Linked DNA regions of Canis lupus familiaris. The protein of the gene in region 2 purifies or fractionates together with the protein of the main gene of each other region. This does not show direct contact. Links are inferred from orthologs where the notes say so. Each region holds a gene or a part of one and is shown on either strand. Other genes may lie near its edges. The genes, in order: COPS8, COPS7A and DCAF11.

Region 1 (3,747 bases), on a different chromosome or scaffold from region 2:
AATCGGAATCATACAATCACCACTATATATGTCATTTCTACTCAAGTAGGACATTTGTATATTGAAAAAATGGCAAACTAGAATGTATCCACAGAAACACCAGGAGAGTGAAATTTCTAGAAACTATCTCAGATGAAACAGCTGATTCAATTAAATATTTATTGAACAAATGCAGAATAAATGAAGCAGGGGGGCTTTTAACCTGAAGATACAATCAACACCTCCAAATATTCAGAGGGCATCACACAAAAACTGCAAGACTTGTTCGGTATTTCTCCAAAAGGCAGAACTTGAACCAAAGGATAAAAATAAGCAACCAGTAGGCTGCAAGACAGTTGTACAAAGTGGATCACTTATCTTAATAGCTTCCTTGCCAATATAATGCGTTCCACCCTAATATTCCCTTCTTCTGAAAGGAGTATTACATCTAATATTTCTCCTGAAGGTCTTAAATAGTTGCATTTTCATGGCAAGCCCTCCACTGCCAGCAATGGATGTACTCACACCATCAGGAAAAAATCAAAGTTAACAAACTGGTTCACTGAGGAAGTGGTCTTCTGTTCCTCAGCTACACTTCAGCATTCTGTAAGAGTGATATTCAGGAGGTGAGGAGAAAGAGAGCATATTCTCTGAAGGGGGTGCATCAGAATCCCTGGCAGCTCAGAGACTGTCTCCAGGGACAGTCCTCCTCAAACCCCAAAGGAATCACTGCAACTATCAACCATCAGTGCCGATGGGGTGTGCTGTACGCTGGGGCAGGGGCAAACAGCTGTCAACCACTGACCTACATAAAGCAGGAGAGCTGTTTTATCAGTCAGTCACTAGGAAATTAAACTGCATAATACTGACAGGCTCCATCCAAATTGTCAAATATTACAAAATGAGAATTGTTTCAACAACTATTCAGCATAATGTTTAAGGACAAAATATATAATAATATACTTTATATATGTATTTTATCACATACTCAGTAAGGAATGCTGAGGTGCTTCATCCATCCAATAAATTGAAAATAAAAATTTTACATTTCTATATCTGTCAGTATACAGGATTCTGAAGGTGGATCTTGGACTCAGAATGATACATCAGTTTTCGAGAAAAGCCACATAATCGGTCAGTCTGGCTAACTGCTGCTCATTGGGGATTGGGGGCACTGGGGCAGGCTCTGCAAGTGAAACAGAAAGAGACTAAAGTTAGACCCCATGTGACAGCACCTGGGCCCTGCCACCCACACCCTTCCAGGCCTGTCATTTATCAATAAAGAAACTTTCTTATTGATTTTGGACATTCTGAAAAACAAGCAAAGTTTCAACTTTGATGAGTTTTTCTCAACGGGGAGCAAAGGCATGTCCAGCTTTGTTGAAGTTTCCAGGTTAACAAGCAACACCTCTCTTGAGAGAGCACAGCTCTTCCTGGAAGGACATATACCCACCTGACATGATATTCAGTGAATAACCAATCACCCAGTGCTTACCGTGCCATGCAGTGCTCTAGGAGGACATTAAATTGTCAGTGAACAAAACAAAACAAAAAAACCCACAAAGACCCTATCAAGGAATTTAGTTTCAACTTTTAATTTAGCACATGTCAGCCCAGGGATGCCTTCCGAGGAAGTGCTGGTGAGAAGCCCCATCACGGCTTCCCCCCATGACACCACGGAGGCTCCGTGACTGGGCCAGAAGATGCCCTGGCCTCAAGGTGAACTACAGAGGGGAGCCCACACGTTCTCTATTATAACCAAATATATCATTATAAACAGCAAATACAGAATTTCATCTCTTCATTTACAATGTGGGAGCTAAGGAAAACAGAGACACATGACAAAAAAAAAAAGAACAATGAAATGTTTTAAATGAATATATAAACATAACGTACCTGATAAGGGAATAAACCTGTTAAAGGACACATCCAGGGCCCCTGCAACTAAGGACAATGAACAGCCCAGTTTATATGAGTCACTGTGAAGAGCTTTCACACAGAACATGTCATTTGTAATGTAATGGCATTTACTACCATTTACTTCTCAAACGGTTAACAGTTATGCTCTATATGATTACGCGGGTCTTCTCATTACAGCAGTGAGACCCGCTGGGACCGGGTCTCACCACCTCTTGAAACTTCCCAGGGCAGAGCCCACTGAAATCTGAGGAATTCCTTGCTGAGGGGTCAACACTGTCTACATGATAGGAACACGGAGCAGGTGGAAGGAACTCTGGTTGAGGGAGAGGGTGTATGGATGGCATTAAGCCCAGTTCCAAAGACCCGGCATAAAAGGGCACTCCTGCCAAGGGAGGAGAGACCTCCACGCAGGAATGAGCACGGCTCACTTCAGGAGGACTGAGGGGCTGGGAATTCAGATGGAGACAACAAGCTCAGGCCAAATAATTTAAGCCTTAAAAGGCCAAAGAACTTAATTCTGTGAAAGTTAAAGCCACTGGAAATCTTGTTTCAGAGAAGAGTCTACACGGCTATAGTACAAGGAGAAAAAGAAGATATTTTTTTAAAAAGACAATGACTTAGATATGGATAAACACACTTAGAAATGGTCCCATAAGTAAGTGGACGGGAGACTAATGCTTAGTAAGAATTAAGTTGTAATATGGATTCTGAGAAACCCATATAGTTTCTTATACAAAAAAAAAAAAAAAATTGGGGGATCCCTGGGTGGCTCAGTGGTTTAGCACCGCCTTCAGCCCAGGGTGTGATCCTGGAAACCCGGTTCTTAAAAAAAAAAAAAAAAATTTTTTTTTTAGAAATCAAGGTAAAACTAGGTGATCTTTTTTAAAATCCTTTCTGCTGCGTCTATCATTCCAGGTCTATACTTAACTGAGTTACTTTCAATTTGCTAGCACAGCAGAACCTTATTACCAAATTACTCAAATTCAATGTCTAAAAGACTGAAGTAGTCTTAGAAGAGGTCCATGGTGCATATATGGATGGAGAGCTCCACCTACCTGGCTTTTTGGGCATAACCATTCTTGTGGTAGAGTCGGCTTGCCATCCTTGTTCCAATATACCTAGAGATATGTATTTAACACACAAATGAAGCAATAACCAAAAGTTACTATAATTTTCATTTACAAGATCCACAATCTGTCAATGGCACTACTTGTATGGAGGATCTGACAAGTCCAGGTTACCCTACAATGTGTATTTTTACTAGGAAAGTTGATTATATAGATAGCATTCTCAGATGGACTTACTTTTGAAACATTTCTGAAATGTGTATCAAAGTCTCGTTTTACTCTATCAGGCTGATACAATCCCTAGCAAATGACCAGTCTTCCATAGTGTGCAATACGGTATTAATCTAGTCAATATACCGGAAACAACACTTCCATCTCTAAGGAGGATGTACATGACACTGCCTCCAGTTGCTCTATCAGTAGTAACAAAGCTGATGCCAATGACAAAACCGAGTCTTGGCCAGTAGGCACCGTCCCACAGCAATCATATCAGGTCATCACCACACAACTCTATGAAGTAGGACTCAGAACCATCACTAAACTGATGTGAAAAATGAATTTTGGAGAATCCTATGACGTGTCCTGGGTCACGCAGTTAGTATGGGGTTGGGAGGAGGGTACAGGACTCGGACCCAGGCAGTCAGTTAAGAGTAGGGCTCAGGGGTATGTTATTAGTATGTAATAAACTACAGATCAATTTCAAGATGAATCAAAACAAATGTTTATAAGCAACAGTATGATTTACTCCAGGAACTTCATTAACCTGCCTTTTATGCCTCTA
Region 2 (3,747 bases):
AATTTCTTTGAAGTCCTTCCAGAAACTGCCCTTCTCCCACCACTACTCCAGAGCTCTAACCCTCTGGTTACCTAAGTAATCAGCATATGTCCCATAGGCGAACACAGTGAGTAGCCGGAATGTGGAAGCGAAATCACTCTCAGCTAGCTGCAAAAATACAAAGGAAGAGGTGACAGGACAGGCGTCTCTCCAGTTCCCTAGCCTCATTCTGTTTTCAATTCCACTTTCTGGCCCCATCTCTCCCTTCTCCCATCAGCTCTCCCAGCCCCCAACCCCCCCCGGACTTCTCTGCCTCTCTGATGGCTCTCCCTATACGAAGGCCTCATTGCCACCTCCAGGCCCTTGTCTACACTACTCCCCCCAATCCACCATGCCCTCTTTCTCCGTACGTCTTCATTCTTACCCCAAATTCAGAACTGAGCACATTCAGAGTGTTTGGTAGTGAGCGCACATGCATGTACACACACACACACGCACTCAGACATTGTAAACTGCATTTTGGTCCTTAGAGCATGTTTAATATTTCTGAATCTGAGTAGGCAGTCTGCCGTACCTCCCAATTCACCAAACACTCCTGCGTTACCCTCATGCATCTCTGAGAGCTGCATGGCCTCTACGTCAGACCTGCAGCACCCAGGAGGCTTTCATCATCCAGGCCAGCCCACTCAGATCTCCTCTCCAATCACTGATCACTCATTCTGGCACTTAATCGATCAAACCCTTAGGCTGTTACCGAAGAATATCTTTCTTTCCAATATGATAACAGCTCCAGGCCCTGGTATCCCACCCAGTTAGGTCTGCAGAGCTATTCAGGTCTGCAGAGCTATTTGGCTCTCAGAAAATACTTGCTAAATGAGTAATTTACATGGCCATATCCATTCATCTTATCTCTGCAACTGGAATATAAGTTTTAGGAGGATAATAAGCACTGTGTCTTACACTTTTCTGGTATTCCCAGATGACCCGCAGAGATAAACAAGCACTCAACAAATGCTTGTTTTTTTCACCTTAACGGACCCTCTTTAGTTCCACTGTAGAAGAAAGCGTAGGGAAAGAAGGCAGCCAGAGTTTTCTCCATATACCAGTGACTCCTGAAGGCTAAATCCATTGACTCCATCAATTACTGGCTCTCAAAAAGCTAACACAGTTTGCCTGCATATCAATGCCATAGCACCTCAGGACTTGAGCTGATGTCACACATCTTGGTGATCCAGCACCCCCTAGACTTTAAACTCTTAACTCTATGTGAACAGTTCTCTCTGCTGTGTCCCTAGCATCTTGCCACATGTCTCGGGGAGAAAGCCACCTTCTAACACTTCTAGGCACTTATCTAACTTAAGTGAATGAACAAAGGGTACAAAGTGAGGAGAGGAGGGGCTGCCAATTTCATGTTCATTCCTCCCAATTGTACCAGATTCTACACTTCCCATAATCTGACCTGATTCCTATAATTGACACTGAGGGGCAGTATCAGTTTCAATTTTAAACGGAGGTCTTAAAGTAAAAGTGACCTGATCAAGGCAACATGATCTTACTAAGAGGTACTACATTGGAGGAGACAGGATGGAATTAGGTCTCCTTTTCTGAATCACTCTTTGGCTTAAAAATGAAAAACAGTGGGTTTTACAGATGATTCATCAGCAAAGGAAAGTGAGAGGTTTACTTGCCTACTTATTTTGCCAGCTGCTAATTAATCATCACCATATTCCTGTTCAACCGAATGGTTATGCGGTTGCAAATGAGCCCTGCCCACCCATTCTCAAATTCAGACTTAGTCCCAAGCTTCCATGTGTGCCTTCTAGGCCAGGAACCCACCTCTCTAACATTAGGCATATCCAGCAGTTCCCCAAACACGTAGACACCAGGAGCCTCCAGCACCTGGTGGATGAGTGTGGCCAGCGCTGCCCCCTTGGCCGACTTGGCCAAGAGCAGAAATTGCTCCTGGTTCTGCCCTGTCACCTTCACCTCGGCACTCATGGCTGCACTGAGCTGGGAGGGCCTGGGCTCAGGATATCTGGAGCTGCAAGGAGAGAGAATGTGAAGCTGGAAGTCCCTGAACCCTGGGAGGGCGGGAAGCACAGGGGCCAGGGGCTGGACTGCAGAGGCACTGAGTCACATCTACAAATGAAGAACGAGAGATGGGGCTGTCTAAAACTCGGTTCTAGAAATCCGAAAACCGGCCACTTTGACGGACGCCTGGCTGAGACAGAGTTGCCAGGCCCCCTCCCCCATCCCTGGGCCTGATCCCAAGGCCCACCACGTGCACCCCACTGAACCCCAAGGCATAGGATGCGGTGGGGGAAGGGGTGTCACATGGCGTCCACCCTAACAACAACGCTCCCTCAAATTTCCACGGTGCCGCACAAGTACCCCCAACCACGTGACCTCACCCTCACGATCCTTCCACGTGGCTCCGCCCCCTCCCTTAAAGAGGCCGCCCAGGGACCGCGGGCTCACGCCGACTGCCCCGTCGTACCCTGGGTCAGACTCTGCGGGCCGCTACCTGGAAGCTTCGTCTTCCAGCACACCGGGCGGGGCAGCCACTCCGTCACCTCCGGCAGCTGTTCCAAGCCTTTCCTGCCACCTCCCCGCAGAGTCGCTCTGGCCACTACACTCTATGGCGGGCTTCCGGCTCGTACTTCCGCTCTGGCGAGGCCAGGCCCCTCCCCCGCCTTCCGACGGCTGAAGCTCCGGCGAGCGCCAGTCATTCTACTCTCTGATTGGCTGTTGAGGAAGAAGGACGGCGTCTTTTTTTTTTCCTGCTTTGTTTCAATAAAACTTTATTGTCCGACGAGCGCTAGATGGTAAATGCGAAGGGAGCCCCTTGTCTGCAGCAGGTACCGGGTGGTTAAGTGTCTGTTCAAAGCTGCTTGAAACCTGGAGATCGGGCTGCACAGGGCGCTGGAGGCGGCAGGAAAGCTGTAATGAGAAAGAGCGGCCTGGAGAAGGAAAAAAGGGAGGGAGGGAAATGAGAGACAGGAAGAAGACAAGAATAGTAGAAGTTTCGCAGCAGGGATCCCCTGGCTATTTTATTTTTTTTTTTATTTTTATTTTTTTTAAAAATTTTTTATTTATTTATGATAGTCACACAGAGAGAAAGAGGGAGGCAGAGACACAGGCAGAGGGAGAAGCAAGCTCCATGCACCGGGAGCCCGACGTGGGATTCGATCCTGGGTCTCCAGGATCGCGCCCTGGGCCAAAGGCAGGCGCTAAACCGCTGCGCCACCCAGGGATCCCCCTCCCTGGCTATTTTAACCACTCCTTTTTTTTTGAGGAGCAAGAGGAAAGTAGTGGGAAAAGTACAGGAAGTAATAATAGGTAACACTGACATTGTAGTAACATTGCTTACTATTGGTGAGGCATCTTTTAAAATTGCATCCCGTTGAATCCTCGTAACTATACTGCATCCCCAGTGTGACTCCGGGAGTACTTGTAGAGTGAGGCTTTCGTGCGCATCGAGTCTTTTCATTCCTGCGAGACGAAAAACCCCTAGGTGTAAGGAAGGTATCTGTTATTACTTTAACTTTATAGATAAGGAAATTGATGCTCATAAAAATTTAGAGATTTCGGGATGCCTGGGTGGCTCAGTGGTTGAGCGTCTGCCTTTGGCTCAGGGCGTGATCCTAGAGTCCCGGAATTGAGTCCCACATCCGGCTCCCTGCATGGAGCCTGCTTCTCCCTCTGCCTGTGTCTCTGCCTCTATCTCTGTGTCTCTATGAATAAATAAAATCTTAAAAAAAAAGTTAG
Region 3 (3,747 bases), on a different chromosome or scaffold from region 2:
ACGACCATCCCAAGCACTGTCATGCTCTTCCTCTGAGTCCGAGAGGGCCTGGATGAGTTGTAAATTTGCTGCACCTCCTCCCTGCACCAGCCTCACTTGGCCTCTGTGGAGAGATGCCCATGATAAAAGGGAGGATCTGTTCCCCAAACCAACCAAATTCAGAGTCAATGGCTACTCAGCTCTTAGATCACCTGCTACTCAAACCCTCGTACTGTTCCCATGTTGTAGTTTGAGGTTGACCAGACCTTGGCTGTTACTTTCAGTCTCCTATAAGATACAGTAGGAAATGAATCTTCGTGCTTACAGCAGGAGTAGAGAACCCCAACATTCCATGGAAGTTGACACACCTACTAAGTTGACTTCCTAAGGAGCTAAAAATTCTGAGAGCATTTCCTTCTGAGCCTCTGCCTGAGGAGTCCATCACAGAACACAGTATTCTGAAGGGATCCCCGAGCTTGTCTTCTTCCCCAAGGAGCCACAGCTAAGAAATGGAGCCAGTGGCACACCTTTCCAGTCAATTACTGGTGGTGGTCACTTTCCTCAAAGCATTCTTTCCTCAAGAACAGGGTAAGAGTTAGGTTAATTTAAACTTGTTTTTCAAGTAAATCCACATGGCCTCATATCACATGTCAGCAACTTCTCGAAAGTTCAACACCCACCTCCCCAGCTCTTCTCTTTACCCTTCACGTCACTCCTTTTCTATCATAGCAAGGTTTTTATTTTATTTTTCACTTACTTGGAAAATGGATTCCATTTGTGTAGTCTTAGCTAGAGAGGCTCCCCAACAGTCCCCTCAAACACAAAAGCAAGTCGTCTTCATGACCCTCCCTAATTAAAAACAACTCTTATTGGGTGTTGAGCTCAGTGCCTGAGTGTCCAGAAGGGAAGCTCAAACAGAACAGCTGGTCTGGGCTAATCTCACTTCCTATTCTTTGTAACCTCCCTGCCTGGAGTTGGGATCAAGGGACTGTGGTGATCCCTGGTGGGGACACATCAGAGGGTAAGTTACCTGCGGAGGAGATAGGCCAGTACCTGGGCCAGATCCACATCTTCATCCTCCTCTTCCTCTTCCTCGCTCCGACGCAGGCTAGCACCTCTTCGGGGCAAGCCCTCGGAGGGGTCTCCGGACCCAGTTCCTGCACTGCTGCTGTTCCGTGATCCCATCTTCTGATCACAGCATCATTAGGTCCTGTGCAGGGACTCCTCCTGTCACCTCCTTAGGTTCGGTGAAAGCAAAGCCTGCTCTAGAAACACCAGGGTTCTCCCGAGATAGAACGGTAGGTATCTCTAGGAGGGCGACCCTTCCTAGGGATTGAAATCTGTAGGACAGATTCTCTGTAGCCTGTGACAACTCCCAAGGCTTCAGGAACACAAACCCCCAATTCTGTGAAGCAAAAAAAAAAAAAAAAAAAATCAGAGAGTGAAGCCTAGGGCGCTACCCTAGCTCACCAATGAGAATCCTTTGAAGAGGAATTTCTCAGTTTTCTACCTCAAACTCACCTATCAAAGTCCCTGGAGGGGTGGGTGAATTCCCAGGTAACCTCTTTGGCCGACCAATCAAAACCCCTCGCGGAAGAAAGCGCCTCATTAGCTTATCTTATCTAACCAATCAAAAGCCTTAGGGCTCTGAGACCCCCCGACGCCCCCCTTAGGAACCAATCAGAGCGCTCCGTTGCAAAAGCCGGCAGCATCGACAACCAATAAGGTTCGAATTCGACTTAACACCCCCTCCTTTCTCGCCTCACGCCCACGTGGTGTGCCGGGGGTGTGTACGCCAAGTGGGGGAGGCAGGGAGGAAGCCGAGAAGCCCCTCCCACTGGAGCCGGGTTCCTGCCCCGCGCGAGACCACCCACCAGCCAGGAGCGGTCGCAGGACCCGCAGCGGCTCGAGGCCTTGTTTACACCGACTGAGGCCGCAGCCCGGCCAACCGCTCTCCGTCACGCGCCTCCTTCGTCACGCATCTCCCGGCTGCCCGGCCGGCGGCTGCACACGTCACGCGTCGCCCCTGTCGGCCCCGCCCCCTTGGCCCGCTAACTGGACGGCGGAGCGCGGCGACTGCTGGATGGGCGGGAGAAAGTGGGCGAGCGCTGCGGGGGGGGAGGAGAGCGCGCCACCGAGGAGGGCGGTCGCTCGGGGTTGGGAGGAGTAAGTGGGGAACGGCTGCTTCCTGAGAGACGGCGGAACTACGCTTAACGGGTGACGGGCGGGGCTTAAGAAGTCGGTGCTTCGCTACCTGGAGGTGTCTTTAGCGAAAGATACAATTTGCTGTCGGCCCCTGACGTTCTTTTGGCTTCACAATTTCCAGGCGATCTCTCAGGGCCTCCCTTTCTCCTCACTCGCCGCCCCCACCCCGGCTTCAGCCTTCCTTTTTTTTGTTGGCTGCAGCTTCATTCGGCTTTGCTCTAAGGGGTGGCCAGTGCCTTTGGGGTGTGCTTACGTCACAGAGGGAGATCCGGGCCTCCATACCCTCTCTTCCGGGATCCGGGAGCCTTGTTTTGTGGGGACCGCCCTTTCTAGACCAGCCCTTAGCTGCTTTGGCCACTTTTTAGACGATCCCTGGCTTTTCTCCGCGGTCTTTGCAGACGCTCCCTAATACTAGCCAGGGTCTCTAGGGGCCTTTCCGGTTCAGTCTGTTTCCCTCAGACTCTCCTCGGCTCTCCGGGATTTGCAGACCTTCCCTAGATCGTCGGTCTTCGGCTGGCCTCCCGGCCCGGGCGCCTAGTCCGGGGAGTGCCTGAGAGCCGCCTCCTTCCCCTCCTCTGGGTTGATGAGTAACCCACTGAGCCCAAGGCCCGGACGTGCCACGTCTCGGGATCCTCTCCCAGGCAGGAGGTCGAGTGACCTCGCGGCGCCGAGTGCAAAGGCCCTGGTTCCTAGCTGCACGGCAGTCCGCATTCTCTGGGAAGTGTTGCGAGCTCACCTAGGGCCTCCCCGAGCTCAGGGATGGGTGCGAGGGCTCTTAGCTGCCCCTGGGCCCCCCTGCCTCTCAGTGTCCCTAGGAGGGCGAGGGTGTGGTCAGACCCGGGCGCTTCTTGGCCTCCAGACAGGTAGAGCCGAGCTTATCATCTCTGATCACTAGAGCGGCCACATATGGGCGTGCGATCGGTACTGGGCTCTACGCTTCCAAGGGCCCCGTGCTTGGTTTAATGTCCTGCTATCGCCGTCTTATTCTTAATTTAAAAAGTTTTTTTTTTTTTTTTAAGATTTTATTTACTCATGAGAGAGAGGCAAAGAGGCAGAGACACAGGCAGAGGGAGAAGCAGGCTCCATGCAGGGAGCCCGATGTGGGACTCGATCAGAGACCCCAAGATCACGCCCTGAGCCCAGGGCAGACGCTTAACCCCAGAGCCACCAGGTGTCCCAAATTCTTAATTTTTTTTTTTATTTTTAAAAAATTTACTTATGATAGTCACACAGAGAGAGAGAGAGAGAGGCAGAGACACAGGCAGAGGGAGAAGCAGGCTCCATGCAGGGAGCCCGGCGTGCGCCCTGGGCCAAAGGCAGGCAGGCGCTAAACCGCTGCGCCACCCAGGGATCCCACCAAATTCTTAATTTTTGAACAAGCACTCCGCATTTTCATCTTGCTCTGGGCTCTACGGGTTATGTATGTAGTCGGTTCTGCCCGTTACCCACCTCTCATTGTCAGGTAACTTACTATTAGTTTCCCTGTGACATTTACTGAGGCCTTAGGATTCTGTGGTTTCTGGGTTATCCGGACTGGAAAATCTGAAATCATTAAAACACACA

What was found.
Region 1: the proteins of COPS7A (region 2) and COPS8 purify together in Homo sapiens (affinity purification with mass spectrometry; 11 studies listed by BioGRID and IntAct, counting the BioPlex papers as one, with this or other methods). This does not show direct contact. The link is inferred for Canis lupus familiaris from reciprocal best matches to the Homo sapiens genes COPS7A and COPS8.
Region 3: the proteins of COPS7A (region 2) and DCAF11 purify together in Homo sapiens (affinity purification with mass spectrometry; 3 studies listed by BioGRID and IntAct, counting the BioPlex papers as one, with this or other methods). This does not show direct contact. The link is inferred for Canis lupus familiaris from reciprocal best matches to the Homo sapiens genes COPS7A and DCAF11.

What each region holds. Positions count from the first base shown.
Region 1 is NC_049246.1:48,075,085-48,078,831, reverse strand, and holds the end of COPS8 (COP9 signalosome complex subunit 8), read right to left. Parts: intron 3,018-3,747; coding exon 2,955-3,017; intron 1,924-2,954; coding exon 1,876-1,923; intron 1,166-1,875; coding exon 1,086-1,165; 3' UTR 114-1,085; downstream 1-113. UniProt on the Homo sapiens protein: Component of the COP9 signalosome complex (CSN), a complex involved in various cellular and developmental processes.
Region 2 is NC_049248.1:7,781,020-7,784,766, reverse strand, and holds the start of COPS7A (COP9 signalosome complex subunit 7a), read right to left. Parts: upstream 2,663-3,747; 5' UTR 2,504-2,662; exon of another isoform or gene 2,391-2,503; intron 2,021-2,390; 5' UTR 1,978-2,020; coding exon 1,816-1,977; intron 148-1,815; coding exon 72-147; intron 1-71.
Region 3 is NC_049229.1:4,239,486-4,243,232, reverse strand, and holds the start of DCAF11 (DDB1- and CUL4-associated factor 11), read right to left. Parts: upstream 2,397-3,747; 5' UTR 2,234-2,396; intron 2,127-2,233; exon of another isoform or gene 1,854-2,126; intron 1,835-1,853; exon of another isoform or gene 1,501-1,834; intron 1,385-1,500; 5' UTR 1,165-1,384; coding exon 1,010-1,164; intron 104-1,009; coding exon 1-103. UniProt on the Homo sapiens protein: May function as a substrate receptor for CUL4-DDB1 E3 ubiquitin-protein ligase complex.